Rattus norvegicus: one gene and its partners. The main gene of each other region encodes a partner of the protein of the gene in region 6 in a complex. Links are inferred from orthologs where the notes say so. Each region holds a gene or a part of one and is shown on either strand. Other genes may lie near its edges. The genes, in order: Morf4l2, Anp32e, Epc1, Meaf6, Ruvbl2, Ing3 and Vps72.

The links.
Region 1: Ing3 (region 6) and Morf4l2 share a complex: the UniProt entries of both Homo sapiens proteins name them as parts of the nuA4 histone acetyltransferase complex. The link is inferred for Rattus norvegicus from reciprocal best matches to the Homo sapiens genes ING3 and MORF4L2.
Region 2: Ing3 (region 6) and Anp32e share a complex: the UniProt entries of both Homo sapiens proteins name them as parts of the SWR1-like complex. The link is inferred for Rattus norvegicus from reciprocal best matches to the Homo sapiens genes ING3 and ANP32E.
Region 3: Ing3 (region 6) and Epc1 share a complex: the UniProt entries of both Homo sapiens proteins name them as parts of the nuA4 histone acetyltransferase complex. The link is inferred for Rattus norvegicus from reciprocal best matches to the Homo sapiens genes ING3 and EPC1.
Region 4: Ing3 (region 6) and Meaf6 share a complex: the UniProt entries of both Homo sapiens proteins name them as parts of the nuA4 histone acetyltransferase complex. The link is inferred for Rattus norvegicus from reciprocal best matches to the Homo sapiens genes ING3 and MEAF6.
Region 5: Ing3 (region 6) and Ruvbl2 share a complex: the UniProt entries of both Homo sapiens proteins name them as parts of the SWR1-like complex. The link is inferred for Rattus norvegicus from reciprocal best matches to the Homo sapiens genes ING3 and RUVBL2.
Region 7: Ing3 (region 6) and Vps72 share a complex: the UniProt entries of both Homo sapiens proteins name them as parts of the nuA4 histone acetyltransferase complex. The link is inferred for Rattus norvegicus from reciprocal best matches to the Homo sapiens genes ING3 and VPS72.

The regions. Positions count from the first base shown.
Region 1 is NC_086039.1:104,875,688-104,879,547, forward strand, and holds part of Morf4l2 (mortality factor 4-like protein 2), read right to left. Parts: intron 1,902-3,860; 5' UTR 1,801-1,901; intron 729-1,800; 5' UTR 705-728; coding exon 1-704. UniProt on the Homo sapiens protein: Component of the NuA4 histone acetyltransferase complex which is involved in transcriptional activation of select genes principally by acetylation of nucleosomal histone H4 and H2A.
Region 2 is NC_086020.1:186,159,748-186,164,406, reverse strand, and holds the start of Anp32e (acidic leucine-rich nuclear phosphoprotein 32 family member E), read right to left. Parts: upstream 2,816-4,659; 5' UTR 2,548-2,815; coding exon 2,494-2,547; intron 1,938-2,493; exon of another isoform or gene 1,865-1,937; intron 1-1,864. UniProt on the Homo sapiens protein: Histone chaperone that specifically mediates the genome-wide removal of histone H2A.Z/H2AZ1 from the nucleosome: removes H2A.Z/H2AZ1 from its normal sites of deposition, especially from enhancer and insulator regions.
Region 3 is NC_086035.1:59,286,672-59,291,210, reverse strand, and holds the start of Epc1 (enhancer of polycomb homolog 1), read left to right. Parts: upstream 1-1,691; 5' UTR 1,692-1,899; coding exon 1,900-1,902; intron 1,903-4,539. UniProt on the Homo sapiens protein: Component of the NuA4 histone acetyltransferase (HAT) complex, a multiprotein complex involved in transcriptional activation of select genes principally by acetylation of nucleosomal histones H4 and H2A.
Region 4 is NC_086023.1:142,642,810-142,646,669, reverse strand, and holds part of Meaf6 (chromatin modification-related protein MEAF6), read right to left. Parts: intron 555-3,860; coding exon 362-554; intron 1-361.
Region 5 is NC_086019.1:105,037,756-105,041,849, forward strand, and holds the end of Ruvbl2 (ruvB-like 2), read right to left. Parts: coding exon 4,072-4,094; intron 3,996-4,071; coding exon 3,902-3,995; intron 3,762-3,901; coding exon 3,638-3,761; intron 3,312-3,637; coding exon 3,217-3,311; intron 3,133-3,216; coding exon 3,014-3,132; intron 1,638-3,013; coding exon 1,518-1,637; intron 1,354-1,517; coding exon 1,224-1,353; intron 1,044-1,223; coding exon 929-1,043; coding exon of another isoform or gene 842-928; coding exon 816-841; 3' UTR 732-815; downstream 1-731. Other genes in the region: Lhb (lutropin subunit beta isoform 1 precursor), read left to right, coding at 1-140, 369-611. UniProt on the Homo sapiens protein: Possesses single-stranded DNA-stimulated ATPase and ATP-dependent DNA helicase (5' to 3') activity; hexamerization is thought to be critical for ATP hydrolysis and adjacent subunits in the ring-like structure contribute to the ATPase activity.
Region 6 is NC_086022.1:51,442,095-51,446,754, reverse strand, and holds the start of Ing3 (inhibitor of growth protein 3), read right to left. Parts: upstream 2,945-4,660; 5' UTR 2,877-2,944; coding exon 2,849-2,876; intron 2,612-2,848; coding exon 2,540-2,611; intron 2,513-2,539; exon of another isoform or gene 2,330-2,512; intron 490-2,329; coding exon 389-489; intron 1-388. UniProt on the Homo sapiens protein: Component of the NuA4 histone acetyltransferase (HAT) complex which is involved in transcriptional activation of select genes principally by acetylation of nucleosomal histones H4 and H2A.
Region 7 is NC_086020.1:185,365,995-185,370,517, reverse strand, and holds the start of Vps72 (vacuolar protein sorting-associated protein 72 homolog), read right to left. Parts: upstream 2,881-4,523; 5' UTR 2,820-2,880; coding exon 2,703-2,819; intron 1-2,702. UniProt on the Homo sapiens protein: Deposition-and-exchange histone chaperone specific for H2AZ1, specifically chaperones H2AZ1 and deposits it into nucleosomes.

The DNA of each region.
Region 1 (3,860 bases), on a different chromosome or scaffold from region 6:
ATTCTCACAAATAATCTCAGCAGGTGTGGCGCCCCATAGATCTGCGACATTGGCGCATCAGGGTGAGCCAGCAGAATCTCAGCATACTGAGGCCTCTCAAACTTGTACAGCAGCTGAGTGCCCAGCATCACATTGAAATACTCTTTTATCCCTCCCACAACCTCATTAACGGCATACTCCTTATTATCAACATTTCCCTGTGACTTCTTGCAATTGGCATACTCCTCAAGAATGGCATCTACATTCTTCTTAGCAGGGAGCTGGAACAGCTGCTTCTGCCTAGTAACCAAGTCCCAATCTTCCACCAGCCATGGTTTTAATTCTTCAGGGATCTTCACCTTCACCTCCATCCTACTCTTGAATGCTTCCTCGCTCTCCACAGTGGGGTCAGCCCGTGCCCTTTTCTTCCGAGGAGGCTGGGGGACTTCACTGGTACTGCCACCGTCTCCGTTGCCAGGAGTCTTCTGCTTGTTCTTCCTTGTCTTCCGCACAGAACCAGAAGGGGGGTTCTCAGCAGAGCGACCTCCCCATCTTCCTGGGAGGGCTGGATCAAGATTCTTCGGCTGCGAACCAGCTGACTTCTTTCCTGAGGCAGCTCCTCTCATCTTACTTCTCTGCATATTGCTGCGAGTGGGTTTCTTAAAGTTGTCTTCTTCAGCAGATTGTTGTCCACGAGTTTGAGAAGCCTGCTTTCTGGAACTCATTCAACCCTGTTTTTATTCCAACCACTGTAATACATAAAGTATTGTATTTGGTTGTTTACTATGGTGATTTTATGACCCATCAGACCACAACATATGCTAAAGTCTGTTGGAATATAGATTTCAGGTCCTATTTCAGAGGACCATTTATAAATGCTTTTCTGTTTTCTATCTCAAAATTCTATCCTAATGCCCACAACTCTTGCCTCACCTAATAATTCAATAAACACGCCCACAAATATATCTCTTGATGCTATTTAAAAGATAGGGATTTAATTTTAGAGAAATTTTAGAGATAGAAGGAAGCAGAGTTGAAATGCAAGACTTTGGAACAAGAATAAGAATTTGAAAGGAATAAGGAAGTTGGAGGTGAATTAACAGAAAAGGTTTGTGTATACAGGTCTAGGTAGGCCTTGAGTAGTTCGATGGCACAGAATTCACACAGAGGAATGCAATGATCAAAGGTTAGAGTCAAAATGGGCTCTGCACGACTGAGCCTGGGTAGTTTTAGTAAAGCACAGATTTTTTTTTAAGGATTTGTCTGACACTGTCAGAAAACAAGATTAGTCCACTGATAGTTACATGCATAAAAGATCTCTTTTAGTAACTTTAGAAGAGATGAGAAACTGAGAAAGGAGTTACTGACAACTTTCAGGCTTTAAGGATGGATGACCATCACCATCAAATGAGATGGTATTTATATAAACTGCTTAGAGGAGAAAGGTGATTAGTTTTGGACTTTTTATTATCTTCAGTGTGCACTCAAAGAGAGAATGTTCAAACTCAGAGTAAAGAAATGGAGATTTCTTATCGTGTAGCTTATAGCACACACTATGAACCAGTGAACCTCTTCACTGAAGAAAAAACAGGCAGAATTTCAGACATAGAATTCCAGAAAATGTAAAGAACAAAAAAGTATTTGAGGAGTTAGCAAGAGACCACAGATTAAATGGTGAGCCCTCCATCGGAGAGTAAGAAGATATGTGACTTTGGAAGATAAAGAGGTTGAGTTTCAAGAGAAACAATATTCAGTGAAAATGAATTAAAAAACAAGCCTCCTGCTTCGATGGCTGACTCATTCGACAACCCCTTGACTTACACAATGTTCCTTCTCTCCCTTCCAAGGATTCCTAGTAATCTCCCAGATGGAATCTTACAGATCTCCTAGGATGGTCTGGAAAGATGAAGTGGGAATACAACCTAGAAAGGAAAGTAGGGATATGCAATGAAGATGAACTTTTACAAAATCATGTAAGAAAAAGTTACAAATGTGCCTTACATATAGGAAGGAAAATAGTGTGTGATCTGCAAAATGGAACTGAAGACATGTATATTCAAGCACAAGAAACTATTCCTAGTTGCTATAGGCTACTATAAGAATGTCATGTTACTGAACAGCTAGCATAGTACCGCACATGACCATTTCTACATGTGAATGAGGGCGGTTCACTAAAGTAGCACGAGCAATGAGGAACTGCAGACATTTACAGCTTCAGCAGGGAAAGGGTGATACAAATTACACATGCACACTACAGAATACCCAAGTGACTTAAGCAGAGGCCTATCTACATACTGACACTGAAAACTGTTTAATGTCCTTAGGTAAATGGGTTAGTAGCACAGCTCTTATTAACAGTGTGATTCCATTTGTCTTAAATGAGTGTGCAAATGTGTAAAACATGAGTCTGTTACATATTCAGGGTACCCCCTTCCCCGAGTAAAGGATGGCATTCCAGCTTTAATTTACCAAGGACCACCTCAAAAAACAAAATCCATGTGTGAATGGGGAGTGGGTTTCTGTTTACAGTGCTCTGGAGGACCATAACCCATTTTTCTTAAGAGATCAACACCTACTAAAATAAGCAGGTGTTTTGGAGGCTGCTGAGGTCTGGGGATGTAAGCCAGTAGTAGAGCATTTGCCTTGGTCATCAGTACTTCCTTACCAAGGAACTTATTAGCACATAGTGTGGTCCTAAAATTTTGAATCCACTTTGTGGGTCCTTCCTTCCAATCCCCCACTACTAAACATTGTTCAGTTCAGTTAGCATACCTACTCTACTCCAGACTTCCTCTCCCTCACTTAAATACAATAAAAGTCCTACCACAGGGCTTGTGTTATAACCTTGGATCTTCTGCAGAAGCACAGAGACTAGTAGAAAATTTTTCTAATCAATCTCTAAAGTTAGCTCAAGAATAATCCAGAAAAGTATCATTTTTTAGGTTTGTGAGGTAAGCACGTATTATTAAATCTTAGCTCTCACTTTAAAAAAAAATCATTGAAAGAAAACTATGTTCCCATAGTTATGTTAAGGTTATGAAATACACCTTTTAGGCCATGACATTTGTTTCACTCCTGGCTGATTTATTTAGCGGAGCAAGGTATAAACACATTTAAGGCTTTTACCCTGGTGCTAAATTGCTTACCCTTCAAAAACTCTAACTTAAAATGAGCAATCACACCACAGCACACCCTTTGGTAAGCATCAGCAAGCTAACCTTCATTCTTTTCTGCTCTACCACTGAGTTACATTGCCAACCTTCAATAGCTTTAAAAGACACTTATTGTTGTCCAATTTGCACCTGTGTTAACAGAAATCTACCCCCCCATTTGTATATGCCTTTGTCCTTTTGAGTTGGCTCTTGGTAAATTTATCATTTTCTAGGATCTCTTCAAATTATTTTTGACCAATGCTTTCCCTTGGAGGGCTCTTTAGTGTCTGATGTTAAAGGTTTTTAATGCTCCCAGCTCCACTGTTGTAGACAGTGTTCCAAATGTCATTATTACAAAAAGAACCAATACTAGACATCAATGCATAACTATATTAAGACCACTAGGTAAGTTATCTCTGAAGGATATATTCCAAGAGGAATTAAAGGTAGTTGCCTACATAGAAGCTTTTGTGATGTAGCCCAATTTATCTCAGAACTGTTTTAATATGTATTCCTAGCCAAAACCATGTTAAGTTCATTCTTCCATCTTCAACCACACTAAAGATAAGCAAGCATTTTACTAATTCAACTATACCTCAATCTTCAAACACCCCTTTCACCACAAAAAAAACAAACAAAAACCAAAAAACAAAAACCAAAAAACCCCAACTCACTTGCTAATCTAACTTGTAGTGGGGCATCTTTATTTGAATATGTATGATTTCAAAC
Region 2 (4,659 bases), on a different chromosome or scaffold from region 6:
CTGACCTACACTTACCTGGGAAGGAGACGCAAAGCTACAAGGGGTAGCTTATCACTTTTTCAGTTTAATCCTCTGTATTTTTGGCTGATAAATGCCAGTACCATTCCAACCTTGTTACCCTTCAGAGAGTAACATCAGAAAGCTCCTAAGACAGCCCACCAGTCCCACTCTTGGAGGGAGGGGGAAGGAACTGGTTATCTGCATGTATGTCCGTGTACCCTGTGCATGCAGTACCCATGAAAGCCAGAGGATGGGTGGGGTGGGTGTTCAGTCCCTGGGACTGGAGTTACAGATAGTAGTGACCTGCCAAGTGGGTGCTGGAACGACTGGGAAGGACAGCCAGTGCTCTTAACCCCGTATCTCTGGGCTGTAAGTTTATCTATTTTTTTTTATGTGTATCCATTTTTTTCCTCATAATGTGCCCGGTGCCTTCAGAGGACAGAAGAGGAATCTGACCCCCTGGCAGCTGTGTGCCACTGTTCCAGTGCTGGCTCTTAACTACTGAGCCACAGATCTGAGATATAGTAACAAAACTCACCTGGTGCACCTCATCGATGTAATCACAAGGCAAAGCCTGTTCTCTATCCCCAGAGTGAAAGTGTCTATTTAAAGGTAAAACTCATCAACAACAACCCTCACCTTCTCTACTTGAATGTAACTCTGGCATCATTATTTGAATGAGCGGAACTTGTACAACGACATCCCTGGGATATCCACAGGGAAGCTGAGGCACAAAAGGTGACAGGTCACACCAACAGGGCCAGGTAGGGGCATTTTGGTTCTTAAATCTGTCTTGGTGGTTTTCAAGACAGGGTCTCTGTGTAGACTAGAATGGCCTCTAACTCACAAAGATCTGCCTGCCTCTGCCTCCTGAGTGTTGGGATTAGAGGCTTGTGGGACACTACCACCGGCTTGTTCGTTTGTTTTTGAGACAGCTGTAGTCTCACTATTTAGTCCAGGCTGGCCTTAAACTCAAAAAGATTGGCCTGCCTCTGCCTCGGAGTGCAAGGATTAAAAGCCTAAGCTACCACACCAAGCAACTCTTAAGCCTTTGGATTTTAGTCTTAGCCAGGGACCAAGAACTTGGCAAGGGTTGTAGATGTAGTGTCAGAATCCCAGCTCTTCAACTTCACTGCCTTTAGACTCCTATTCTAATCTGGATTCTAGAATACAATCCAGCTTACACGTTTCCCCAAGGAGAAATTAAATAAACGGGGTGCCTTATAAACTATCTATATAAACTTGGCTGTTACCACACCACACCAAATGAAGGAGACTGCAAAAAAGTCATCATCGAGCAACCCTCCAAACTGAAGGTGAAAGAATGGGGCAGAGGGGACGACCCACTTTTGCACCACAAGGTTTCTGAGAAACTGCTTTTGATTTTTTTTTTTTTTTTTGCCTTGTTTGACATGAGTCCCACTAGAAACCATCGTCCTACCTCGGCCTCCCTCCCAAGGGCTGGGAATTTCTTGATATGAGAAGTAAGGATTTACAGATATACAGAATTACAGATATCAGTCATCACGTCCTGCTGACAGCTTTCAACTTTTGAGTTTTTCTAGAATCTTCTATGAGGCTCTAGAAAACTTCTAGTCCTCGCAGAGATAACCCTCACAGCAACAATGTTTCCACCACCGCTCTCGCCTCAAGTCACAGGAACCCGCACACCAACCACGAAAATGAACAGGGCTTAAGGACCGGTGGCTCTGCACGATAACCGTGAAGGCCGGGCAGACGGCCGCCTTTGCGCGGGCGTCAAGGGACCACTACAGCGCGGACCCCATCCCTCGACTTCACGCCACGGCCGCGAACGAGCGAGCCCGAAACCCGCCCGCCGCCGCCAATCACCAGACCCGCGGACCTGGCGTGAACCGCAAGGGAATCCGAAGACGGGGGGCTCGGAGGCGACGCCTCCCGGGGCCCCTCCGAACCTCCGGACTCTTCCCTACCGCCGCACAGAGCGCAGCGCGGCTCACAGGAACCTGCCGCTTGCGTAGAAGTCCGCGCGCCACGCGGATCGCGGCCCGCGCCGTCGGGTCCCGGGATTCCGCTGCGGCCCCGGCCACGGCGCGCGCTGCCCGCGAATGGGCACGGTCGGAGGGAGCGCGGGGCGCAGATCGGCCCCGAGCCCCACGCCCGGGGCCGCGGCCCGCAGACTGGCGGCGCCGCGGGAAAGTTACACCAACTTCGCAGGTGGCGAGGGCCCGGGGGTCGCGCCCACGCCGCCCGCCCTCGCGAGGCCGGGCCGCCAGTCTGCGAGGACGCCATGGGGCTGAGCCCCCGCGCGCTCACGAAAATGCCCCTAGAAACTTAAGCCCTTCGCCATTTTAAGCACAAGAGCCTGGTGATTTAAAACTTAAAATAAACACCCCACCCCCACCCCAAGTGGGGGCGCGCTTCCCAGCCCGCCCTGCGCACCCACCCGGAGCCCCGAAGCCCACCCCTCACGATCCAGGGAGGGAGGGGAAGATGGGGGCTGAGTCATCTCACCTCCTCCGGGGCTCTGTTCTTCAACTCCATGTTAATCTTCTTCTTCATCTCCATGTCCTCCTCCTTTCCCCTCGCCTGCCCTCCCCACTACCCCCAACCCTAAAAAACCTCTAAAGGTCTGGAGATGAATGAAAAGAGACGCAAAGACGAACGCCCACTACCACCGGGGTGTGGGAGAGAAAGAAAAGAATAGCAAATGGAGTCTGACGACTTGGGACTAACTCGGCTGCCCCCACCTCCTAGTCCACACACCCGCGCGCGCACACTCGGGCACGCACACACTTTCACACACAGAGAGAGACACGCGCGCGCCCGCAGTTCCTTCCCCTTCAATGGCTGCTGCGAGACTGAGCCTCCATGACACGGCACCGCCAACCCCCCCAGCCTATACTCCACCCACCTCCCAACGGGATTGGCCGAGTCCTTAGCGTCACACTACTCCATTGGGCTAGAGGATTGTCCATTTGTCTTTAGGGGGGACCTGGACCAGAAACTCAGTGTCTATTGGCTCTGACCAAGCGCGCAGTTAATTCCGATAGGTCCGGGAAGATGTACGTCCCAGAGAAATGATTTTGAATCCCAGTCGCCCCCCTCCTTTTCTTTGTGTGGTTGGCGCGCTTTCCTTCGGTAGTAGGACGGTTTGGGTGTCTGTTGGGTTTGTTTTTGTTTGTTTGGGGTTTTTCTGGCTTCAGGGTTAAAAGGAAGGGAAAAGGCGTCGTTGGCGTTCCCAGGTTGTAAATGGGTCATGCAACACACTGCACTCAGAGCTTTCGGTGGTCTTAAAGCACAAGCCTTCTGCCCTGCGGCTGAGGTGTAAGCATGGGCGCAAGCACGAGCAGCGTGTTCGTGACACCTCCCCGTCCAGAACTGCTTGTAGAACCAGAGCGTGATAAAGAAGGTATTTTAACTTCCACCGTAAAAGGCGGAACGACTCTGAAAGCAGTTGAGTTTAGCACGTTGAGTCAGAAGCCTTTAAATAAAACTGTCCAGGAGGAGTTGATACTGAGGTCATTTGTCACTGCTAAAAAGTTGGAATATTAGAGCCAGGCGTGGTGTGCATGCCTTTAACCCCAGCACGCCCAGAGGCAGAGGCAGGTAGATCTCTGAACTCAAGGCCAGCCTGGTCTACAGAGCCAGTTCCAGGACTACACAGGAAAAACAAACAAAACCCCTGTCTCCAAAAGACAAAACAAACAAAAAAGTTGGCACCTTAGAGGAAAAACAACACAATTCTCAGAAGCCGCACAGCAAGGCCTTTCCTTTCCTACAGGAACCTACTTAAAATGTTCTTTTAAGTGTGGGTCTGCAGAGGCAATGGCCTCTTCCACAGGACCCTGGTTCGATTTCTAGCATCCATGTGGTGGTCCATAATCATCCGTAACTCTAATTCTAGGGAATTCAGTAGCATCTTCTGGACTCCACAGGCTACAGGCAAAGATGTGCTGCATGTACACACTTGCAGGCAAAACACCCAAATACATAAAAACAAAATCAGTGAATTTAAAATAAAATAAAAAAACACCTTTTTTTTTTTCTGTTTAATGCTCCTGTAAGACCCGGATAATGGTACATTCCTTTAATCATAGCCTTCAGAAGGGAGAGAGGCAGGCAGATTTCTCCAGACCAGTCTACTCAGTAAATCCAAGGCCAGCCTCTGTCTCAAAATAACAACAAAATTATTTCTTTTAGATTCCTTTTTCTCTGCTTCCTGATTGAGATGTGACCAGCTCCTTGCAATTCCTTCTGTGATGGGCTCTACTTAGATCTGTGAACTAAAACAAACCCTTTCTCTCTTTAAAATATTATTTTTATTTTCTTAGGGGGCGGGGGGAAATACAAAACAGGGGATCCTTATGTAGCCCTGGCTGTCCTGGAACTCACTCTGTAGACCAGGCTGGCCTCAAACTCAGAGGTCCACCTGCCTCTGCCTCCTGAATGCTGAGATTAAAGGCGTGCACCTCAGGGCTGGAGAGATGGTGTGTGGTTGAGTTATGACACATTTACTTGTTCATTCAGAAGCCCCAGTGGTGCTTCACAACCATCCATTCATAACTTCAGTTCCAGGGAATTCAACATCTTCCAACCTCCAGATCACAGCATGTACGTGGTGCCCAGCCACACATGCACACAAAACAGCCACACACAAAATAATTTAAGAAGCGGGGG
Region 3 (4,539 bases), on a different chromosome or scaffold from region 6:
TTCATGTATACCATGAATATGACTTCAAGAGCTGGAAAACCAACTATTTCATCAGAAAGTATATGGTTAAGAATATGAATAACTTACAAACTGCTCAGAACAGTCTAGCCTATAGGTAATAAAAAAGGACCTATCTGTACACTTACATGAGAGTCTATTCCTGTCCAGATTTTTGTTTTTAATCATAGCTACTCGGTAAATATTTGTGAATCCAGGTCTACCCCAGTTATCTACTTCAGATCAGGTGCAAAATATAGATGCTGGATGGAGACTCTGGCTCAGTCTACTGAAGTTAACCCCAAGCCTGTGGGTCACTACCTGTCTCATAGAATTCTGGTTTTGTCAGCCCTCTGGTTTACTGGAGGCAAGCCCTGTTTATTTTAATCGTCCTGTAATTAACAGCACACCCCACCCCCCCGCGTCTTGTTGTAGACAGTGAGTATGATAATAACCCTAGGTATAGTTTTAAAGGTGCCTATTAAATATTCAGTATATCAGACCTCCGTGTGGGGTGAGTTGAGTGGGTGTGGGAGGGAAGTGTCTTGAAGAATGTGGACTATTCTCTATCTTTTTTTTTTTTTTCATCCTTTGGTATTTTCTTTCATCGTTGGCCCATTAGAAATTTTCTGGCAAGGAATTAATTGCACAGTGGATACATTTAGTTCACACATTTAAGTTATGGAAACACTTTGATATTAGCCGACTTTGGGGACTTTACATTTGCAATTACAAGTGTTGGATTCCTTTAACATTTTTACGTTTAATTTTCAGACTGTATTAGAAAAGCCTGTTTGAAACAGCCCTACTCAGCGCCCAACTAGAAAGAATCGTGTTTCCCAGCCCACTTAATCTGAAAGCCTGCCAAGTTAGGTGAAAGACCTTATAAATATGTAAAACAGGAGGTTCAAATTACAATCAAGTAAATCCCTAATGATTGATGTTCTTTTCAAAACAAAAGAAGAAGAAGAAGAAGAAAAAGAACAAAAAAGAGGGCATTCCCGCTAGCACCAGCAGCAAAGGTTGGTAAGGAGTTCACACTCAAGGGTGTACTTTAGGGCTTAATTTATTTTGAATTTCTACCACTTCCTGGAGGCCGGGTGGAAGGATCCAAAATACTGGGCACCTCAGCCATTTTGTTTGTAGGGCGGAGCGGTAGAACTGGGCCGGCCAGGAAGGGGTTTGAGAGCAGCGTTGAAATGGGAGGGGGTGGGGGAGCTGAATATGGTTTCAACTTATGTCAGGATTCACTCGAGGCTAATGCAGGGACACTCGAGCCGCGTGGTGCTCGCGGCCTCAGGAGGCCCTCGGGAACGTCACACCGAGAACCCACGGATAGGCATCTTTCCCAGCGGCCGCGGCCGCATCCACGTCCCACACGGACGTCTCGAGTGGAGCCCCAACGAGCCGCGCGCAAGGGCGTGCCCAGATGCTCGGAGGACACGGCTGCTGCCATTGTTGTGCTAGTCACTTACTCCCGATCCCCGAGCAAAGTCTGGGGAGCAGCGCTCTCCCGAGCCGGTTTAAAATGGCACAGTCGCGCATTCTTTCCGAGCAGCGGGAGGCGGGAGCGAGGGCGGAGCCCGGAAGCCGCCAGCCAATGGGCGCGCGCGCCCGCCCTCTCGCCCGCCAGCGCAGAGTTGTTAACCCCGCGCCTGCCGCCGCCGCCCGCTCCGCAGCCTCCAGCTTGCTCCATTCCCCCCGACGCCCTCGGATCCTGCGGCTGCCCGCCCCGCTCCGCGCCCTCCATGGACGAAAGTCTCACTTTTGATTTACCAAATATTTTCAGGATGTTTGAAGACCCGTACGCTGCCCGGAGGCTGTTTTTTCTGGACAGCCCAGACCTCAGCCTATATTGTTACAATTTTTTTTTGAGAGCTAGCTGCTGCTTTGCCTACACCGATGGTAAGTTTATAATTTTAAACATTCTTGGCATTACATCCTCGAAAGGAGCACCAGATAAGAGAGGTTTTCATTGTGTTTCTTCTCACAAAACCAATCTTTGTATTTTTCTTTAGCTTCGATCTCTGCACGTTCCACCTAATTTTGTCTGGATAATTTTTTTTTTCCCAAAAGGGGAAAAAATAGTTTTCCTCTCCATTGTTAAAGATAAACATGTATAATGAAAATTATACTTTAATTGCTGTGAACTAAAGGGGAACTCAGATGTTTCAAGATGGACTTTTTTTTGTGTGCCAGGAATGTTGGTAGTGCCAAATATGTACGTATCCTCTTTATAAAAATTATCTATTGCCTAATTTGTCCAGAGTAAATTACCAACAAGCAAACTACCGTTGTAGTTTTGTTTTGGTTTTTTAAAATAGATCTATTGTGATTCCCTTGATGGAATACTTCAGAAAGGAGCTCTGGTATAATGAAGGCGGAGATTGACTAACCGGGTTTAAGTTATGGCTGTTGCTAAATAGTGGCTCTTTTATTGCTGAGCAGACCTAACTTGTGGTCTAGGATGTGATTTCCTTAAAGCTCTTTGTCGATTCGTCTCTGCAGATCTATCTTATTTTTTCTCCGGAAAGCTACATTTGGGAGACATTTTGTAATTTTTGGCATTTTTCTAGTTTTCTTCTTTTTGCACACGGTGGGAGATTTTTTTTTTTTTTTTTTTTTTTTTTTGTTCTGCACTGATCTGTGTTGGTGGCGCTGTAGTGCTCCTCAACAATTTGTCAGTTTTACTAAAAGAAAAAAGGAAGAAAAAAGGTGGGGCAAGATTTTATCTATTATCCTTTAATTTTCGTAGAGAAAGTTCAATTTGGTCAGCAGTGTTATTTAAGTGTTTGCTGTGGACTGTGCACCATGGTGAGAACAGACAATGTCGTCACAGCCAATCCAGGGGACATTATGGACAAGCATTCAGTTGGCAGTTATGTTCCATCTCATCTCATTTATTATCTCTATCGGATTCTTTAATAATAAGCTGTCCTTTGCCCTCTCCTCCATGGATGCTTTTCTTGTCTTACAAAACCATGCCCATTAGCGCCGTTTCAGTATAACAAAACGTTTGTGTATTAGTTCTTTGGACATTGTAAAAGTTGAATTTCATTTTTGAATCAAGGGATTTCTCAAATATGTATTCTGAATCTGTCTTGAGAGTGATCTGGTAGGGTGTCATGTCTGTTTTATTTTGAGCTGCCCCCCTTGGATTGAATTTATAGACAGCCTTGTTTTAAAATGAGCAAATGTTTTTTGTTGTTGGAACAAGATAATTTTTTAAGAATATTGCACACATATTTTTTTACTTAAAAATACTGACATATACATTTCTAAGGAGGTGTTATATCTTTGTTCTTGAGAGTTATCTGATTAGAGACTAAGGGATTTAGGCCCAAAGCCTGCCAAAAACAAAAATATGTCACAATATGACATCGGCTTTACTGGTCTCTGTAAACATTTTAGTTGTTTGTGAAGATGTCTTCAGTTCAAAAAGAAAGTAGGAGGGATCTGTAATTTACCTTGAAATGCATTGTTTACCAAGTAAAGTGAAAACTGAAACAGCATTTGGATTATCTGACTAACAGGTTATGTCTTGAGAGAGTGACTGTCGTGTCAGGAGTCAAGAGTCTTTATTTACTTTGACATCTGTAAATGCCCTTTCCACTGATCCTTTAACAGTCTGGAGTAGAGAATGTGTGAACAGGAGTAGAAATAGTATTTCCTAGAATCTGTTTATCTCCTTCCTTCAACTTCAGAAGAAACAAGCCCAACGCCTTAGATTTTGTTTGTAGCATGCTCAAAAGGTTTGGAAGTATTCACTAGCGTAGTTCATTCTCTCTTTCTTTGTGAAGTCTAAATGCAGCTTCAAGTGTGGCTTCTGACAGTATAGATTATGTATGGAATGAAATACTGCAGGTGTAAATATTGTCTAACCTGGTGATGCTGGAGGCTTTAGCTCTCTGAAGTTGATCATCTGAATAAAATATTCCTTCCGGCACGTTTATTGCTAAAATATTCTGTCCTCCATAATGTAGTGATTTTCATTTTATTTAATTTCTGAAACTAGCTATGGTTGTTTAATGTCACCCCTTTTAAGAGCAAACCCAGCTGGGAAGTCCATCCGTGGCTATGCAGTCCTCTTTGTTCTCCTCCTGACTATTACATCATTGATTATGAAGTAACCATTAGAGTTCAATCGTTACTTCTGAAAATCACTCAGACATTTCTATCACACATACTCTTCTAGATGTGACCTTGCCATCACTGTGGAAGTAAAGAGGTTTAAATCTATGAGGCGAAGATAATTCCCTAGTTTATATTAGTCTCCATTTTCACATGTACCCGCTGCTTCCTCATAGCTCTTGATTCTTTGGGAATTATTTCTTTTTAATTGACAGCATTTTATGATTTAGTGCATGAGTTTGGTGTGGTTACACTCAGAATTATAAAGCCAATTTTTTTATCATTAAAAATCCTTTAAAAATGTAATATATAGAAAACTAATTCTTTTTTTTCATGGCAGCAATTGCTAGATCATGGACAATCAAAAATTAGTCTTTCACAATTTTGCTGTGTCATTTCAAATTGACACTT
Region 4 (3,860 bases), on a different chromosome or scaffold from region 6:
GAAGGAGCAGACGGGACCCAGGGCTGAGAGAACTCCATCCCAGATCACGGTTTCCCAACAACCAGAGTAGTTTTTCCGAGGACTCATTTCTACTTCCCTGTTTTCCTCTTAGCAGAGGACCCAAAAGCTCATGATGCCACATGACAATGGGAGTCACATTTCATCCTGGTGACTTCCCACTGATCCTTCAGGGCCTGTCTACGCCACCCACTCCTCCCTCAGAGGACTCCACCCCACCTGACTTGCATATAAGAATTTCTGCCACCCACAACCTGAGGGTTCTGCCACTGTCCCAGGCATCTCCACGCCAACCAAGTCCCGCCCAGCAGGTGAGGACTCTGGGTGGGACCCTGCCACTAACCTGTGCCGGTTTTTATTCTTCCGCTTTTTGTGGCTGCTGTGGTGGCTCCCTGAGGAGGTGGAAGAGGCAGCTTTCTGAGGCTTCACTCCCTGAACGGAGCCGTCCAGGTCTTCAGGGTCCTCCTGCGCAGGCTCGTTTTCCTGATTGTGGAAGTCTGGGGAAGTATCGCTTTCCGTCCCACTTCCTGGTTCCCCTAGAGGAAAGAGAACAGGCCCCAAAAGCCTGATCAGTGTTCCTGAGTCCCTGTCATCCACAAAGGTTTTCCCTTGAGGAACACGCGCTCAACGCACCAAAGCTAGGGAGTCCCTGAAGTCCACGTGGTCTGCATCAGCTCTGAGGACAGAGGTGACCGCAGCTCAGAGCATCGCCCTCTACATAAGGGACACTTCAATATGGGGCACGCTGAAGAGAGGCAGGGACACCTTGGCAAAACTGACAAACCATCAGAGAATCCCGTCTTTCTATAAAGAGTTGGTGGGGGATGAGCTAGAGAAATGACCCTGAGATTAAGAGCAGGTACTGCTCGTGCAGAGGACCAGAGTCTAATTCCCAGAAGCCATGTCATAAGGCTCACCTGCTGGAATGCAGCTCCAGGAGATCCAACACCTCTGGCCTCCTTGGGTACCTGCACTCACATGCACACACACACCCCACCCCGACACATACATATGATCTAAAGAGTAAATTCAAAAAAGAAAAGAAAAGGTACCCACTGGGAAGCAGAGTCTAGCCCATCCCTCAATTACTGAGGTCGTGGACATTTTTTTTTGGAGGGGAGACAGATACGGTCTCATGTGAATCCAGGCCGTGAGGTGAGTTCACAGGGCCTGTAGAAGTGAGAGGAAATCGATCTCCCAGAGCTGTCAGACACAGGCGATGGGAACCGGCCAGGGTCCTCTGTAGAAGCAGCAAGCGTCCTTAACAACCGCATCTCTCCGGCTCCCCCTCCTTTATCTTTCTAAAACTACATTTTGCTTATTTGTGTATATGTCGGGGTGGGGGTGCTGCAGCAGGGTGGTTTCAATGGACCTGTCCCCGCAGGCCCAGGGCTTTGAATACCTGCTGTCTAGGTAGTGGAGCTGCTTGGAGAGCGAATAACCTGCAGAAGGAAGCCACTAAGGCTGGGCAGGGGTGGGGGTCTCACCCCACTTCTTGCTCTCTCTCTCCTTCAAGTGCGACAAAATATAACCAGCCAGCTTCCTACACAGGGAACCCATTCTTGGACCATAAAGGAAGCCAAGATAAACTTTCCTCTGTAAGTCACTTCTGGTCATGGTATTTCCTCACTGCCATACACAGTAATTAACATCCACAGCAAGTAAAAGGAGGTCAGGGAACAGCTTAGGAGAACCGGCTCTCCCCGTTCACCTCTCAGGGAGCAGACTCAGGGTTAGCCACATGCTTACCTACTCAAGCATGAGCTTCTGGTCTTCCCGACCCCGGCTCCCGAGTGCTGAGATTACAGGGATGTCCCACCATGAGTTTTCCCCTGCCTTTGGCAATCTTGGGTACAGTAAGCTAGACCATCAGCCCAGGAATGCCTGAATGAAGTAGTAATTAATGTTCAACTGACATAAATCACCAGTTTCAAAACAGCATTTCAACAGTCAGGCTGGGTGGCACATGCCTATAATCCTGGCACTTGGGAAGGTGAGAGGACATCTCAAGCTCAAGGACAGCCTGGGCTACATAAAAAACTACTACTACTACTACTACTTCTTCTTCTTCTTCTTCTTCTTCTTCTTCTTCTTCTTCTTCTTCTTCTTCTTCTTCTTCCTCTTCCTCTTCCTCTTCTTCATCATCATCATCAAAATCACTTGGATATATTTACACAGAAGCATGCATGTTCAAGAACATCTCATAAATACTGTCTTAGGGTAGGGTGGCTACAGAGTAAAGCACTCACACAGCATGAACTAAGCCCAGGGTCAATCCTTGCACCCAACAGGTAGGAAGGAGGAAAGAAGAAGCAGGAGAAGGCAGGGCATCAGACGCAGGAAGCCCCAAGTCCATGACTAGCCTGAGCTACAGAAAAAAAGAGTTCCATGGCGTGGGCCCCCGCCCTCTGCCTTTGCTCCCCCCAGTGCTCGGGTCACAGCTGTGTATCACCATGTCCAGCTTCTGGAAACCATCACTAGATAAGGACAGGGAGAGACCCGAATTCTACTCAACTACTAATGGACCCAAATACATTAGTATTTGTCCCTAAAGATGGTCAGAAGGGTCTGTGTCTGCAGGAAGGTCAGGGGTCAGTGTTTTCCCTTCTGCCTTTACATTAGCATTTTTTAAATATGTAGCCACCAGAAGCAGCAGAGGCAAAAACAAAACAAACAAAAAGCAGAAGGAGGTTGAAACAGGAGAATCACCGTCAAGGTTAAGGCCAGCCTGGTCTACATATCAAGTTCTGGGTCTGTCAAAACTACAAAGGGACACCCTGTCTGAAAATAAAAAGCAGGAAGAGGGCTGAGCGGATGGCTCAGTGGGTGAAACATTTGTATGTAGTGCAAGGACCTAAATTTGGATTTCCAGAATCTACATAAAGCTGGACACAGACGCACACGCCTATAACTCATCTCCTGTAGGGTATAGGGTCCTAAGACGGGAAAATCCCTGGGAGCCCCGGGCCAGCATGCTGGCTTATACAATGCAGTGGAGAATAAGAAGAGACTGTCTCATCTCATGAAGGAGAGAAAAGACTAACATCTGAGGTTGTCCTTCAGGATTCACACAAGCACCACAAAGTACACGTGCACACGCACACACACAAACACAGAGAAAGAGAGAGAGAGAGAGAGACAGACAGACAGACAGACAGACAGACAAACTAAAAGATAAAACAGAGAGCTAGAGAGACGACTCAGTGGTTAAGAGCACTGACTGCTCTTCCAGAGGTCCTGAGTTCAAATCCCAGCAACCACATGGTGGCTCACAACCATCTGTAATGGGATCTGATGCCCTCTTCTGGTGTGTCTGAAGACAGCTACAGGGTACTTATATAAATAAGTAAATAATTTTTTAAAAAAGAAAAACAGAGGGATTGGGGATTTAGCTCAGTGGTAGAGCACTTGCCTAGCAAGCACAAGGCCCTGGGTTCGGTCCCCAGCTCCGAAAAAAAGAAAAAAAAAAAAAAAAAAGAAAAACAGAGAAGTGTTAGCACAGTAGCATCCACCTGTAATTCCAGGGCTGGGAAAGCCAAGGAGGGAAGATCAGGAATTCAAGACCAGCCTGAACTACATCTCAAAACCACAGTCAAACAAATAGCAAACACACAAAACGTAAAAGCAGACGAGACCAGCAAGAAGGGCGAGCAGGTGGAAGCGTCCCTGTGCAGACCTGAGACCACATGGTCGGAAGTAAATTTCTTGGTCGGGAGAGAATCAACTCCCAAAAGCTGTTCACATGCATGCCATGGAACATGTGTGACCGCACTCACGATACACCCATTTCCCCACCCCTGCCCCCAGAAGCAAACCAGGCGATGGGACTAATTTGAACACGA
Region 5 (4,094 bases), on a different chromosome or scaffold from region 6:
CAAGTGTGGTGTGGGCCTCCAGGGGCCCCCTTCGGCCACTGTGCCGGCCTGTCAACGCAACCCTGGCTGCAGAGAATGAGTTCTGCCCAGTCTGCATCACCTTCACCACCAGCATCTGTGCCGGCTACTGTCCTAGCATGGTGAGCTGACCAAATGGGTATGGACATCACTTCCGCCCTACAGTGCTGCTAGCAGTCCTACAGGTGGGGGCAGTGGGGTACAGGGAGATGGCACCTGGGCAGGGATCACAGCTACTGTGGGGGCAGGACCAGGTGGGCATTCTGCCTAGAATGGCTGCAGGGGGTGGGGAGGGGGCGCAGCACAGGGGAGGGACACTCAGATGAGGACTTTCTCCACCCTGCACTCAGGTTCGAGTACTGCCAGCTGCCTTGCCTCCCGTGCCTCAGCCAGTGTGCACCTACCGTGAGCTGCGCTTCGCCTCTGTCCGCCTCCCTGGCTGCCCACCTGGTGTAGACCCCATAGTCTCCTTTCCTGTGGCCCTCAGCTGCCGCTGTGGGCCCTGCCGTCTCAGTAGCTCTGACTGTGGGGGTCCCAGGACTCAACCAATGACCTGTGACCTTCCCCACCTCCCCGGCCTTCTCCTCTTCTGATGCCCACCCACTAACTCCCCATTCTTCTGGAGCCAGCAGGTGTTCTAACCATCCCTCCCAATAAAGGCTTTACAACTGCACTCCGATGTCCTTTTGTGTGATCTGAGGATACAGCAGAACTCCAGTTTTCAATAATTTTATACAAAGTCACAGTGTTAGAACTTGTAGAAAACAGGCTGGGAAGGGTTGGGGTGCAGTGTCAGCTCAGGAGGTGTCCATTGTTTCACCTTCTGCAGAGAGGGGAAGCCAAATGTGAGGGAGCTCCTGGGTGCTCCCATGCAGCCCCTCCCACAGTGGCAGCAGCCTGGGATACTCACTGAGCTCATTGAAGAGGAAGGCGTCCTGGTATTCCTTCATGTACTGTGTGGAGCGGGATTCATCCAGGAAGAGGGAGTATACGCGCTTGATGTCGTCCACCTGCACCTCCGTGCCCTGAGAGCAGGTGGGGCTCAGCTGATGTCAGCACGGGGCCACCCCCACCACTAGGTTTTTTTCTCTAAAATGCCCGGGCACCGGCTGTGGTTCTTAGTCCCCACTAAATATCCATGTACCATGGCTCAAGGGCTACCCCAGGGCCACCCCTCAGTCCTCCAGGCTAACTCGCTGGCTGACCTTTCGTTTCCGGCACACCAGGCTGGCCGCTGTGATGAGCTGGATGGCGTAGCGCAGGGAGGTCTCGAGCCCAATGCGGGTCAGCACTGTGTAGGCGTCCTCACTCATCTCCACATCTTCCTCCTCACAGCTGTGGGAAGGCAGGCCAAAACGGCAGGCATATCACCCACCCATCCCATAATATGCATGGATACTGGGGTCTCGGAACCACGGATGGTGAGGCTAAAAGAGCCACGGGCACAGGAGGGCCTCCCACCCCATCTTTCCCGACTCAGTGTGGGGCAGATGCCACACCGGATACGTAGGATCTGTTTGGTGTCCTTCTCACTGTAGGGCGATGTTGACACAATGAGCAGCCGGTCTAGCAGGTCAATGGGGATGCCGTGGGGACTTTGGTAGCTGGTGCCTCGGATCCTGGGGGTCAGGGAAAACTGTTAATGGATGCTTTTCAAAAACATACGTGCCACCATAGCCCACTTGGGAACTCAGTAACTGTGAGCACTGGCTCTCATCCCCAGTAACACACTTCTCGGCAGCTGTGCACACTAGCGGCTGTCCTGTGCCCTGCTGCCCTGGCAAACCCAGTTCCTGGTGAGCAATGGGACCCATGGCAGTTTGTTCCAGGCATGGGAGCTTAGCCATCGATATGAGAGTACTGTTCTCCAGGGGCTGGCTCAGGACAGCTGCCAGATCTAACCTACCACTCATGGACTTTCAGGGACTGGGGAATTGCAGTGAACATCAACTAGCAAAGGGGACCTTAGGGCTGCCTCCCCTCCCCCCTGCTACCTTCACATCTATGGCCTTGGGCAAGCTGCTCAGCTTTGCTGATCTACTCTGTGAAGTGGGAGTAGTGGGGAGAATGAAGTGCAGGCAAGGTAGCCAGGTCCCAGCCTCTTAGGGCTGTGTGCCATCCGCCTTCACCACAGCTACACCTAACTGCAGTTGCAGGGGGCCTGAAAACTTGTGTCATCTGTGGGTACCACATGCATGTGTACACACACACAGACACACACATAAAAGTAAGTCAGAGAAGAAAGAGGGGCTGGAGGGATGGTTAGAATACATACTGTTCTTACAGAGGAGCCCAGGGAGAGTCCCAGGACCTGCACCAGGCAGCTCACAACTGCTTCTAAGTCTAGCTGCAGGGGACCTGCCATACTATTTTGGATTCTGCCCACACCTACATTCATACCTGCATATACTGCCTCCCCCACATTCAAACAACAACAACAACAACAACAACAACAACAACAACAACAAAGACGCCATGCTAAAAACACGAGACAAGGTGATGTGCTTGATGAAGTCATGAGCCATCGTCAGGAAAAGTCTGGCTATCCAAACCAGTTTGTATACTCTCTTATCTACAAAGGGTCTCATGAAGCCCAGGTTGACCTAGAACTGAGTCCTTTCTCAGCCTCCATATTACCAGGACTGTGGTTGGAGCTGACATGCCCAGTGTCCACAGTGTCTTTAGGTCAATACATGTGGTCTGTGACGATTAAGTGGCGGGGTCTGAGTGACGGACTGATCACAGCAGTTTGTGACATATCTAATAGATAGCCCCGTGCTCAGCATAGGGTAAACTTCCCAGGGCCCTTTGGGTGCCTGCTCCAACAAGTTTAAATCCAACTTGAAGAGATTTTCTATCTGTCCAGGATTGTGAGGACCACACTGGAGGCAAGCTGAGTAAGGAGAGGAACTCAGCAGATGGTCATTCACCTTGAGGCCACCATCAACCCCTGGCCCAGAGTGCCCTTGCTGCAGAGGCCTCTAAAGCTGCTCACCGGGTGATGCCTCGGTTGGTGGCCATGATAAGAACAGGCGCCATGTCACTCTCCAGGGCCCGGTTTAGGAAAGAGAAACTCTCAATGTCCAGCATGTGGACCTCATCGATGAACAGCACCTGGAAGCCATTAGGGCACAGATCAAGCTCTCTCCACCTGGTACCTCAGGGCTAACCATACCCTCCTGGGCTGCGGCCACTCACCCCAGGGATGATCTCCGCTTTGCCCTCCTCCCTCCACTCTGCCACCTTGGCATTGATCTGTTCTCGGACTTCTGACTTGATCTCCCCTGTGTCTCCTGCCAGAGATGGGGGTGTCAGTTAGAATTAGAGATTGAGCCCAGGACCGGGGTGGGTGAAGAGAGAGACAGAGGAGCACTGGGGAGGAGGGCTCTGGGCTGCAGCAGCAGGGCCAGAAAGGACAGAGGGAGTGACCCGAGGGAGGACTCGAGGGCAGTGTAGGGAAGGACACACTCAGACGGGGAACAGAGACAAGCAGCAAGTCTGTAAAGAAAGCTAACAGCGCCAAGAAAGAGGCAGAAAAGCTGGGGGTGGGGGTGAGCCACGCTGAGGGAGACAAAGGATGTACCAGAGCATTCAAGGTGTTGGGGGAAGGGCAGCTGACCTGAGAAGAGAGCCAAGAAGCCCTGAGTGCGGGAGTTGATGACGTCAATCTCATGGAGGGACACGGTGTGCACCACCTCCTTGCGTTTTTGCAGCTCTCCGTCTGGGCACTGCACAAACTTGGTCTACAGGGTCAACGGCAGGTGTGAGGGCAGCCAGGACACAGCCTGGAGCCCCACACTGGGAGGTAACCCAGCATCCAACCCCATGACATAACAGAAGATGGAGAAACACTCCAGTGCTGGGTTGGGGATGAGCCAAGCACCTGGGAGCCCATGGCATCATAGTCTCGGGCACGTGTGAAAGAGCGGCCCAGCTTGGAAATCTTGCCAGTGGCCTTGTCGATGGTGATCACGTCCCTGAAGGAGCAACAGCAAAGAGTAAGAGGGTTCCACTCCCCTCACTGCCCAGCCTCTTTGTGGTCCCGTGGCTCACCCGGCCTGGACCTTGTCCTTGGT
Region 6 (4,660 bases):
TCTGCAGGACAGCCGTAAGTCCCACAGCACTAGCTAAACCTCAGAATGACAGGAAGCGCTAAACCAGTGCTTTTCTACCTTCCGAATGCTGTGACCCTTCAACAGTTTGACACAGGCCCTCATGCTGTGGTGAGCCCCAGCCAGGAAATTACTTTCACTGCTACTGAGTCACTATAACTTTGCTACTGGTATGAATCGTAATGTATTTTCCTGTGCTTTCCGGCAACCCTGTGAAAGGGTCATTCGTCCCCTTAGTTGAGAGCTGCTGTTCTAAAATGTAACAAGCACCCCCAAGCCTCTCACCCCATATCCAGGTATCTCCCTAATTTTAATATCCCTTCCAAAGGGTCCCCATGTGACTGACAATCATCGAAGGCATTGCACTTACTTTTTTGATGGATGCCATCTGTTCTTCTCGCCACTCGGGTTTATTCTTCTTTGCATTCATAAAGAATTCACTGACTCTTTGTTCTAGTTGATCCATTGCATCTGACATAATAAAACATTTCATACTTAGCCGACCCAGCTGCTTTGATTTGAGGAAAGAAAAGATGTCTGACAACAACAATGTACTGTCTTAGTTTGCTAGTGGCTTATATGCATTTTGTGCTATGAGCAGTAATGCCTTCATTACCTTAGCTTTAAAAAGCTGAAATATTCTCTACTGACTTTGCTATTTCAAAACAATTTCCAATAACCAAGGCAGCGTTAACCACATGGACAAGGATCTAGGCCACGACCCTGGAACAGCACAGCACTGAAATCAAAGCTAATGGCATTACGTCAGCTGGTTATGGCAATCAGAGTTGCTTACTGACAATGCTGCTGCAAAGTTCTCAGACTTCTTTTAATAAGAATTGTGACACTAGAGTCAATGTTTGCTAGAGAGCGCCAAGCACCTCATCACATCCTCTCGTAGGAAGGTATGATGTATGTGACTGTTTGCTCACTTGAGACACCATTAACTCACTCACACACATGCTATTCATTCTATGTAAAGGTTCGCCAAGGCCTGGGTCGAAAATAATGACCTCAGTGGAAGACTGCTAAAAAATAAATCAAAGGGATTTTGTTGTGGTGGAAATGGAGAAAAACTTGACCACTATTTATATTCATCATTTAAGCAACTTCAGTGCAGGATGGCTTTTTAAAGAAGATGGTGAGACATTCTAGTTAATCTTGATTGTCAAACACAGTTTACTTCCAGCTGCATTTGCTGACGGTACCCATGCTGACACTTTTGTTAATGTGTACTCACTGTTTTGGAAAACTCCAGGGTTATAGTAGAAGTAAACTTGAAAACACTGTCACATGTATAGACCAAATCCAAACTATCCCAGAATTTTAAAGAACTGAATGATTGAAAATATTTTAAATTATCGTTTATTCTAAACCTATTTGTAATGGGTATTATACATCCTAATTATCTGTATTATTTTAAATGCTCAGAAGACTGTCTGTTTACAAAGGGGGGGGGGGGAGTAAGCAAGCCCCCAAGGTAGCAATGCAGCCATTAAAGATAAGGAACTGGAGTCCTCCGAGAGTGAACCCAAGTGTGTCTGCCCCCAAGCTCTACTCAATCCCTCTGGAATGTGCCTCAGCAGATGTTTATTACTGCAACTACCTTAAAGTCAAAAAAAGAAGCATGCCTATACTGGTCACAGGTTTATGACAGGCTACAGGGCAATGAACCCCAAGAGATGACCCAGAGACTGAGATGAGTATAGTCGGGGACAAAAGGTATAGAAATGATGGGAGGGGTGACAGAGGGCCAAGAATGATAAGAACAAGCCCTTAGCAAACTCAAGTTACCTTTGAGCCTCTTCAGTCTAGCTTTTCAAAAGAACAAGGTTCATTCTGGAAACAAGTCACACATAAAACTGCCAAGCACTGACAGCTAGCCATGCCTGTAATCCCAGCACTAGGTGGGCAAAAGTAGGAAGACCAGGAGATTAGAGCCAGCCTAGGATACATAGTAAGTATGAGACCAGCCTGAACTACTTGACTGTGTTTAGAAAACAAGAAAGAAATGAGTAGGACATCCTACCAAATGTCTACATTTTTCTAAAAAGCAATAGGATGGTTTCGGCAAAATCTGATTTCTCTCATTCATTTTTTTGGCTAAGAAAATGACCACGCTGTTGAGAGCTCTAAGTGTCTTCTATTAATACGCAACTTGTCAAAGTTCGGCCTTCCAAGTTCACTAGGGTCCCTAACCAGCTGCACAGAACCTGCCATTCTGTCTTTGCTCTTGAGAAATTAGGAATGTAATGAACTTTTAAGTCTGAATGCAGAACTCCAAGTTCCACATACAGGCTCAGGTGCAAACCTTCTGAAAATCACGCGAGTTTCCACTGCGGTGCAGTGTCGTCATCTCCATGCAGTACACAAACACAGTGTTTGCTGTGCCCCGCGTGTTAACGGTATGGTGTGCCTGCCGCCTCCTTGTAACAGCCTGAAAAAAGTAGCGCGGAGGACCCGCCAGGCGATGCCCGAGGGAGGCCGGGGCTGCGCGGGGCCGTGGAGACGCGCCACTTACTCTGCACCTGCAGATCCATCTCGCGCATCTCCGTGAAGCGGTCCCGCAGGTCCATCGGAAGCTGCTCAATCACTGTCAAAGGCACAGTCCGTCAGAGGGCGGGGCCAACGGCGAAGGTACGCGCTGGCGTCACGCGTGTGTGCGTGCGTGCGTGCGTGAGGGGGGGGCGGCTCACAACGAGGCTGCCAGTTACCGTGAGAAAGAAACATCCCCCGCTCCCCCTCCCTCCCGCCATCCCGCCCGCCCGGCCACTCGCGCTCCCGCCCGCCGCCGATCCCGCCCGCCGCGTTGCCGGCGCCGCGCACTCACTTTCCAAATAGTCTTCTAGGTACAACATCGCGGCCCTGAGTGCTGCGGAGACGAACGGGTCCAGGGGTTTATTTGTGTCACTCGCTGTCGCCGGAGTTTTGTCCCTTCCAATATGGCGCCTCCGCTAGCAGCACCCGCTCGACTCCGGCAAAGGAAAAAAAAAAAAAAAAAAAGCAAAAAAAAAAAAAAAAGGCTCCACTTTGGCGCCTGACGGCGCTTGCCTCACTGCCGCCCGCCGTTGCCATTGGCTGTCTGGAGCGATGACGTCAACCGGCCGGTGCGGATCTCCGCGGAGTTCTGGGAAATGTAGTCATCTTTTTCCCCGAGCGTAGCCACCAGTGTGGTTGTCTCTTAGAGTGGCAACTACAGAAACCACACGCCTGCGCGAAACGGGCACGCCAGAATCCGAAATGCGGTGACTCTGTTTATTTGTTGATTTCTTGCATAGGGGATGACGGGAGTTGTATGCGCCTGCCTGACACAACTAGGAACAACTTTTCACCTGTTCTGTGCTGTGGTTCCAAGCCCGCCGTTTGTGAGTCATGGATTTCTGGCTGTGCTAGGCACATAGCAAAGATTCCAAACGCTAGAATAATCGGCTAAGTTCGGAAAATTCAGATTGTTTAGAACAGAACTCGCTGCTGGAATTTAATCTTCATAAGTCACTCCTGATAAATAAATGGGACAAGTGATTGGTGTCCCTGCAACGTTAAGATAATTTGTAGTGAGACCGGAGGGAATGTGCATTCCCCAAATTAAAAGATACTCAAAATTGTATGCAGTAGCCAGTTATGTTTGCAGTGTATCTTGTGTTCATTGTAAAACAACTGTTCTAATGCATCTGCAATAAATACATAAATAACGACCATCCATAAATTTTGGTGATTTAATGCATTGCTGGCATATACTAACAATGACGTGAATTTATGTTGTGTAAATAGCTGGGCTAAGGTTTATAATTCTGGGCAGGCTCTTTTAATAACCCTAGCAAATGTTGGTATAATTAGTGTATCGCGGCCCCGTTTCTGTCTTAAAATACCTTTCATAAAAAATCGTGCACTAAATAAATACTTCTGTGTTTGGGGGGAAATGATCCTTTCTTAGACTACAGAGGCGTACACCTGTAATGCCCTAACTAGGAGAATTGAGACAGGAGGATCAGGAGTGTGAGCCTTGGCAACATAGGCATTTAGAAGCCAACGTAGATTACGGAAGACCCTATCTCATACAAAAGAAAAAAATCAGTATGATGCATTTTATTCACTACTCTGTATATTTTTATAGTACAATTTTATTTAGAATGACACTTTTTTATTCATTTGTTCTCTTTTAAAGCCATTTTCTTATTACTTGAATGTTAAATATATGTAGTCTACATCTGTTTAGTTTAAATTCCATACTAAAAACTATTTGTCTATTTGTACTCTTTCTTCAAAATCAACCACATTTGCTCACAGGGCCTAATTTCATCTGGGTTGAGGTTTTTACCTCTGAATCCACTTTTCTGGGGGATATAAATGTGAAGATTTTTCACGGCTGGAGTTAAAATTGAGTTTTGCTAGAGAATATTAGCATTTGATTCTGCAACTTTGCTGCAAGACACCATCAAACTTAGGGCCAAATTAAGTTATGTAGTTGAGGTTTATTATATTGCACAGAGAGATTGAATTGGAACCTGTAATGAAAATACTTCATTATATACTCTCAAGGGGGACTTTTCCTTCCTTATTGGCCTCTAAGTCCAAGACAAGCATGTTTTCTTATTGGCCTCTTAGATGAAAAGAGTTTATTGCTTACTCATTCTTACATAGG
Region 7 (4,523 bases), on a different chromosome or scaffold from region 6:
AGGTAATATAGGCTAAGGTGTCAATGGCAGCTACCCTGGGAAGGGGTGTCATTGTGAGGGGACGTCAACTGGGCTTGGCATATGCTCTCTCCTCTCAATCAGGGACACGACCAATGGATTAATGCTGCCTAAGCAAGCATATAACAAAGGACTGATACTCTAAGTTAGGCAGCACAAATGACCACCATTCTTCTGACAAATGTCTGTGAAAGTGACTCAGAACACATTAATTCTCTCGGCTCTGCTCTGGGATAAAGCATCACCAGACGGCAGAGCAAGTTCCCACTGTGCTCCTGCTCAGTGTCCGTGTTTTACCGCACTGTGGACTTTCTGTCATTACGCTGGGCTCTTCTCCAGGCCTTTAATACACAGGAGAACGTTCTCTATCAAACCCCATTACTTCAGTTGGACCCCGTATAAGTAATAAGAAATTCTCCCTAGAATTTAGTGCTAAATAAATTTGTCTTTCTTGAGTATACTGTATACTTCGGTCTTACAAAAGAACAAATTTAGTTTGGCTGCTAGAAAACTCACAGCTATCAAATGCTATTTCCATTTTAACATGGATTCTTGGTAAAATTACTTTTAATTATATATATATATATATAGTTTTACTTATTTATTCATACATTAATACATTTTGTTCTGCTCATTTTCTATTTTTACTGTTTCTAACCTTTGTTTCCATTGTAAGCCTTGTTACATATCCTTTCTGGAAGCATGAGGTGCACGTATTAAATAACGACTCATAAAATGACAGGAATAGGAAGTGAAACTTGAAGGATGAGAGAGATCTATTTTAAACTAGTTTATTAAAGCTGTGTACATAGTGACTCCTGGTTAGTCATAAAGTCCTGTCTACTCTCTTTCCAAAATCTTCCCTTCAACCCTAACACTATCCCATATCCACCTCCATCCACTCTGTGGTGCTGGGAGCTGGAACCTCCAGCTAAGCTAAACAAGATGACCCTGAGCAAGTGTCATGCCCAGCCCAGCCCTTGTCCTCTTTAGGCTTTACTCATTTACTCATTAGGGTTGGTTGGTCTGTAAGGCTGAGTCAGGATGGAACTGGAAACACAACCCATGTGGCCTGGAACCGGAGGTCATCTTCCTGCACCACCTCTCCGAGATTACCAGCACTAAAGAAATCTTTCTAACCAAAAATTTAATGATGGAGCTTTGATGCTTCATTTCAGACCTTTTTTTTTTTTTTTTTTTTTTTTTGGTTCTTTTTTTCGGAGCTGGGGACCGAACCCAGGGCCTTGCGCTTCCTAGGTAAGCACTCTACCACTGAGCTAAATCCCCAGCCCCGATTTCAGACCTTTAAATGAGAAGTCAAACTGCTTAATACAGCTTCACTATGACCTACAAAATCTGACTGGGAGGTGGGAAGGGAAATCCAAGGGTAGTGACAAATACTTACAGTTACAGGACTCAGGAGTCTGAGGCAGAAGGGCTACCTAAACTTTGAGACCACGTGTAGCAACCCTCTTTAAAATATATATTTATATATGGTAGTGGTGAGACCATTCAGTGGTTAAGAACACTGGCTATTCTTCTAGAGGACCTAGGTTCAAATTCCCAACACCCACATGGTAGCTCAGCACTGTCTGTAACTCCAGTCCTAAAGGCTCTAGCACCCTCTCACAGACATACATGTAGCCAACATCAACACACATAAAAATAAGTAAATCTAAAATATAAAAAATAAATTAAAAATAAAAGCAAGAAAGCAAACAAACAAAATCTATGTAAGGCCAGGGGTAGAGGCACTCCAGAGGCAAAGGCAGGGAGGTCTCTGAGTTCTAGGACAGCCAAGTCTTCACAGAAGAACACTGAGTGGGTGGAGGTGTCAGGTCAGGGGTGGAGGCACCTTAGCTGGCCATATGGTGGCAGAAGCAAGTTGCTGGGTTTGTGTCCTTGCGATCACATGATATAGAGGCTGAACTCCAAGTTGCCCTTTGAGCTTCCTATGCTGGCACACAAACATAATACAACTTAAAAGACCAGGCACAACCCTCTCACCTGTTAGAATATAAGTCTTTATCATACAGTCTTTATCGTACAGTATCCTCAAATTGACTGTGATCCCAGGCAGCTGCCCTGCAGGATAGAGCTTGCTTTTATTTATTGCTAGGGGCCAGTAATCCAGGATCTAGGGCAAGTGATCGACCGCTGAACTACAATATAGTCCCAGCCTCAGGAAGTTTTTAATGTTCCCAAGGAGTCCACCACAAGCTATTAATTATATATGGTATGCTGATCTGGGTATGCAATATATATTCAATCAATGAACAGCTTCTATTAATAAAAATATAGCTAAGTGTCAGCCCTGTACTAAAAAATCGAACTCTGTTACAGACCTTAAAACCAATCAGAAAATGAGAAGTAAACCGAATCTAACTGCAAGCTGAAATTTTGTTTCTATGATGGAAATTAAATGGGGATTCTCTTAGGACAGTCAATAAAGGGTCATCTAAGAAAACAGTATGCTGTGATTTGAAAGCTGAAAAAGAGAGTATGCTAATTAAATCTGTTTCTGGACCGGGTCCTCACACACACGCACACGCACAGCGTCCACCGCCAGCTAGGAGCACATCTTTCCGAGCCTTTCTCAATCCCCGCCCCCTTCCTCTTTGTCTAGGGTTTTTCCCTACAAGACTCCGCTTCCTCGCCTCCCTCTTCTTGGGCCCGGCTCTTGCCTCAGTGAAGCCCCCGTAAGTCGTCTGGTAGAACTCATCTTCCTCCTCTGCTTCCAGGAGCCCAGAAAGCCGGTTTCCAGCGGTTTTCCGTGGGGCTCGGCCCCCAGCCAAACTCATACCGCTTACAGAGACTGCGCCGCCGCCAGCAGCCCCTTACCCAGCTCCGGGTTCTCGCCGATCAGCACTCGACACTATTTCCTGCGGGCGACCGCCAATGACGGAAGTCCGGCGTCTGCAAGCAAAAGCAGTCGAGCGTCGAGCACTCGACGCCTTTTCTTTTCCTCGTCTTTTCCCCTTAGGTAGCTCCTGGGATACACTACCAGGTTTCCTCCTCCTTACCCATATTTTTTATTGTTTGTTTTTCTACAGACAGGTTCTCTCTTTACAGTCCTGGCTGCCCTGGACTATCTATGTAAAGCAAGCTGCACTAGAACTCGTATAGATCTTCCTGCCTCTGCCTCCCAGTGCTGGAATTAAAGGTGTGCCGCCTCATAGCAAGCTCCTTTCCCTCTCCACTCCCTCTTGCTTTTTAATTCTCCTAGAAGCCTTTCTAAAAACCCTGGCCTTGGGGCTGGAGAGATGGCTCAGCAGTTAAGAGCGCTGACTGCTCGCTCTTCTGGAGTCCTGAGTTCAATTCCCATCTACTGGTGGCTCACAACCATCTGCAGTGAGATCTGATGCTCTCTTCTGGTGTGTCTGAAGAGAGCAACAGTACACTCACATACAATGAATGAATGGATAAGTAAATAAGTCTTTAAACCAAAACAAAATATCCTGACTTTTTAGTTCCCTTCCTCTAAAACTTCAATGGCAGTCAGACCTGTATTCTCATCAATGGGGTAGGAGAACCACATGTTCAAGACCTGTCTAAGTAATTCAGCAGAATTTTGTTTCAAATTTTAAAAAGTAAAAACGAGTCTGGGGGTGTGCTTGTTAAGCTTTATGTGCCCTGATAGGTTATTTCTCTGCTGGTGAAATGATCCAATTCAAGCCAAATTAGATTATATAAAAGGCAGGTTTATTGGGAAGCCACTCTTAGGCAAATTCACTGACCACAAGGGTTGAGGCCAGGGGAGTTACCATTGGAAGAGAAGGGGGACAGGGAGATAGAAAGTATGAGTGCAGGCAAAGAGAAAAGAGTGAGAGACAGACTGAAATGTTTACATTATGTAGGGAGGAGCTTCTGGAGGAAGGGCAGCCCAGTTCCTGGGCTGGAAAGTTCAAGGAGCATAGTAGATCACGTAGGGACTGAGCAATGGAAGTTCCAGGCCAGCCTCAGCCATGTAGAAAACTCTTGTCTCAAAAACAAAACAAAACCACAAGCAACTAAGTACTTGGCCTAGCATTCCACACCTTTTTAATTCTAACCCTCAGGATGCAGAGGCCAGGAATCTCTACAAGTTAGAGCCCGGTCTACATAGCAAGTTTCAGGCCAACCAGGGCTATAGTGTGACCCTGTTTTAAAACGATAACAAAAACAAGTAGCAGCAGCAATGTCAAAAGTGTGATGTTTGAGGTTTATAATCCCAGCATTTGGGAAAGAGACTGAACTGGAAGATCTGGACAAAGCAAAATAAAACAAATCCCTAGACTTTGAAAGTCTTTCAGCAGTGTGACCTTGTACAAGTAGCTTTACATTTCTGAATCTCACATTTTTGACTGTAAAATGAGACATGCTTTTTACATTTTTTTTTTTTTGGTTCTTTTTTTCGGAGCTGGGGACCGAACCCAGGGCCTTGTGCTTCCTAGGTAAGCGCTCTACCACTGAGCTAAATCCCCAGCCCCGCTTTTTACATTTTTAAGATTGTCGAGATGAGGGCT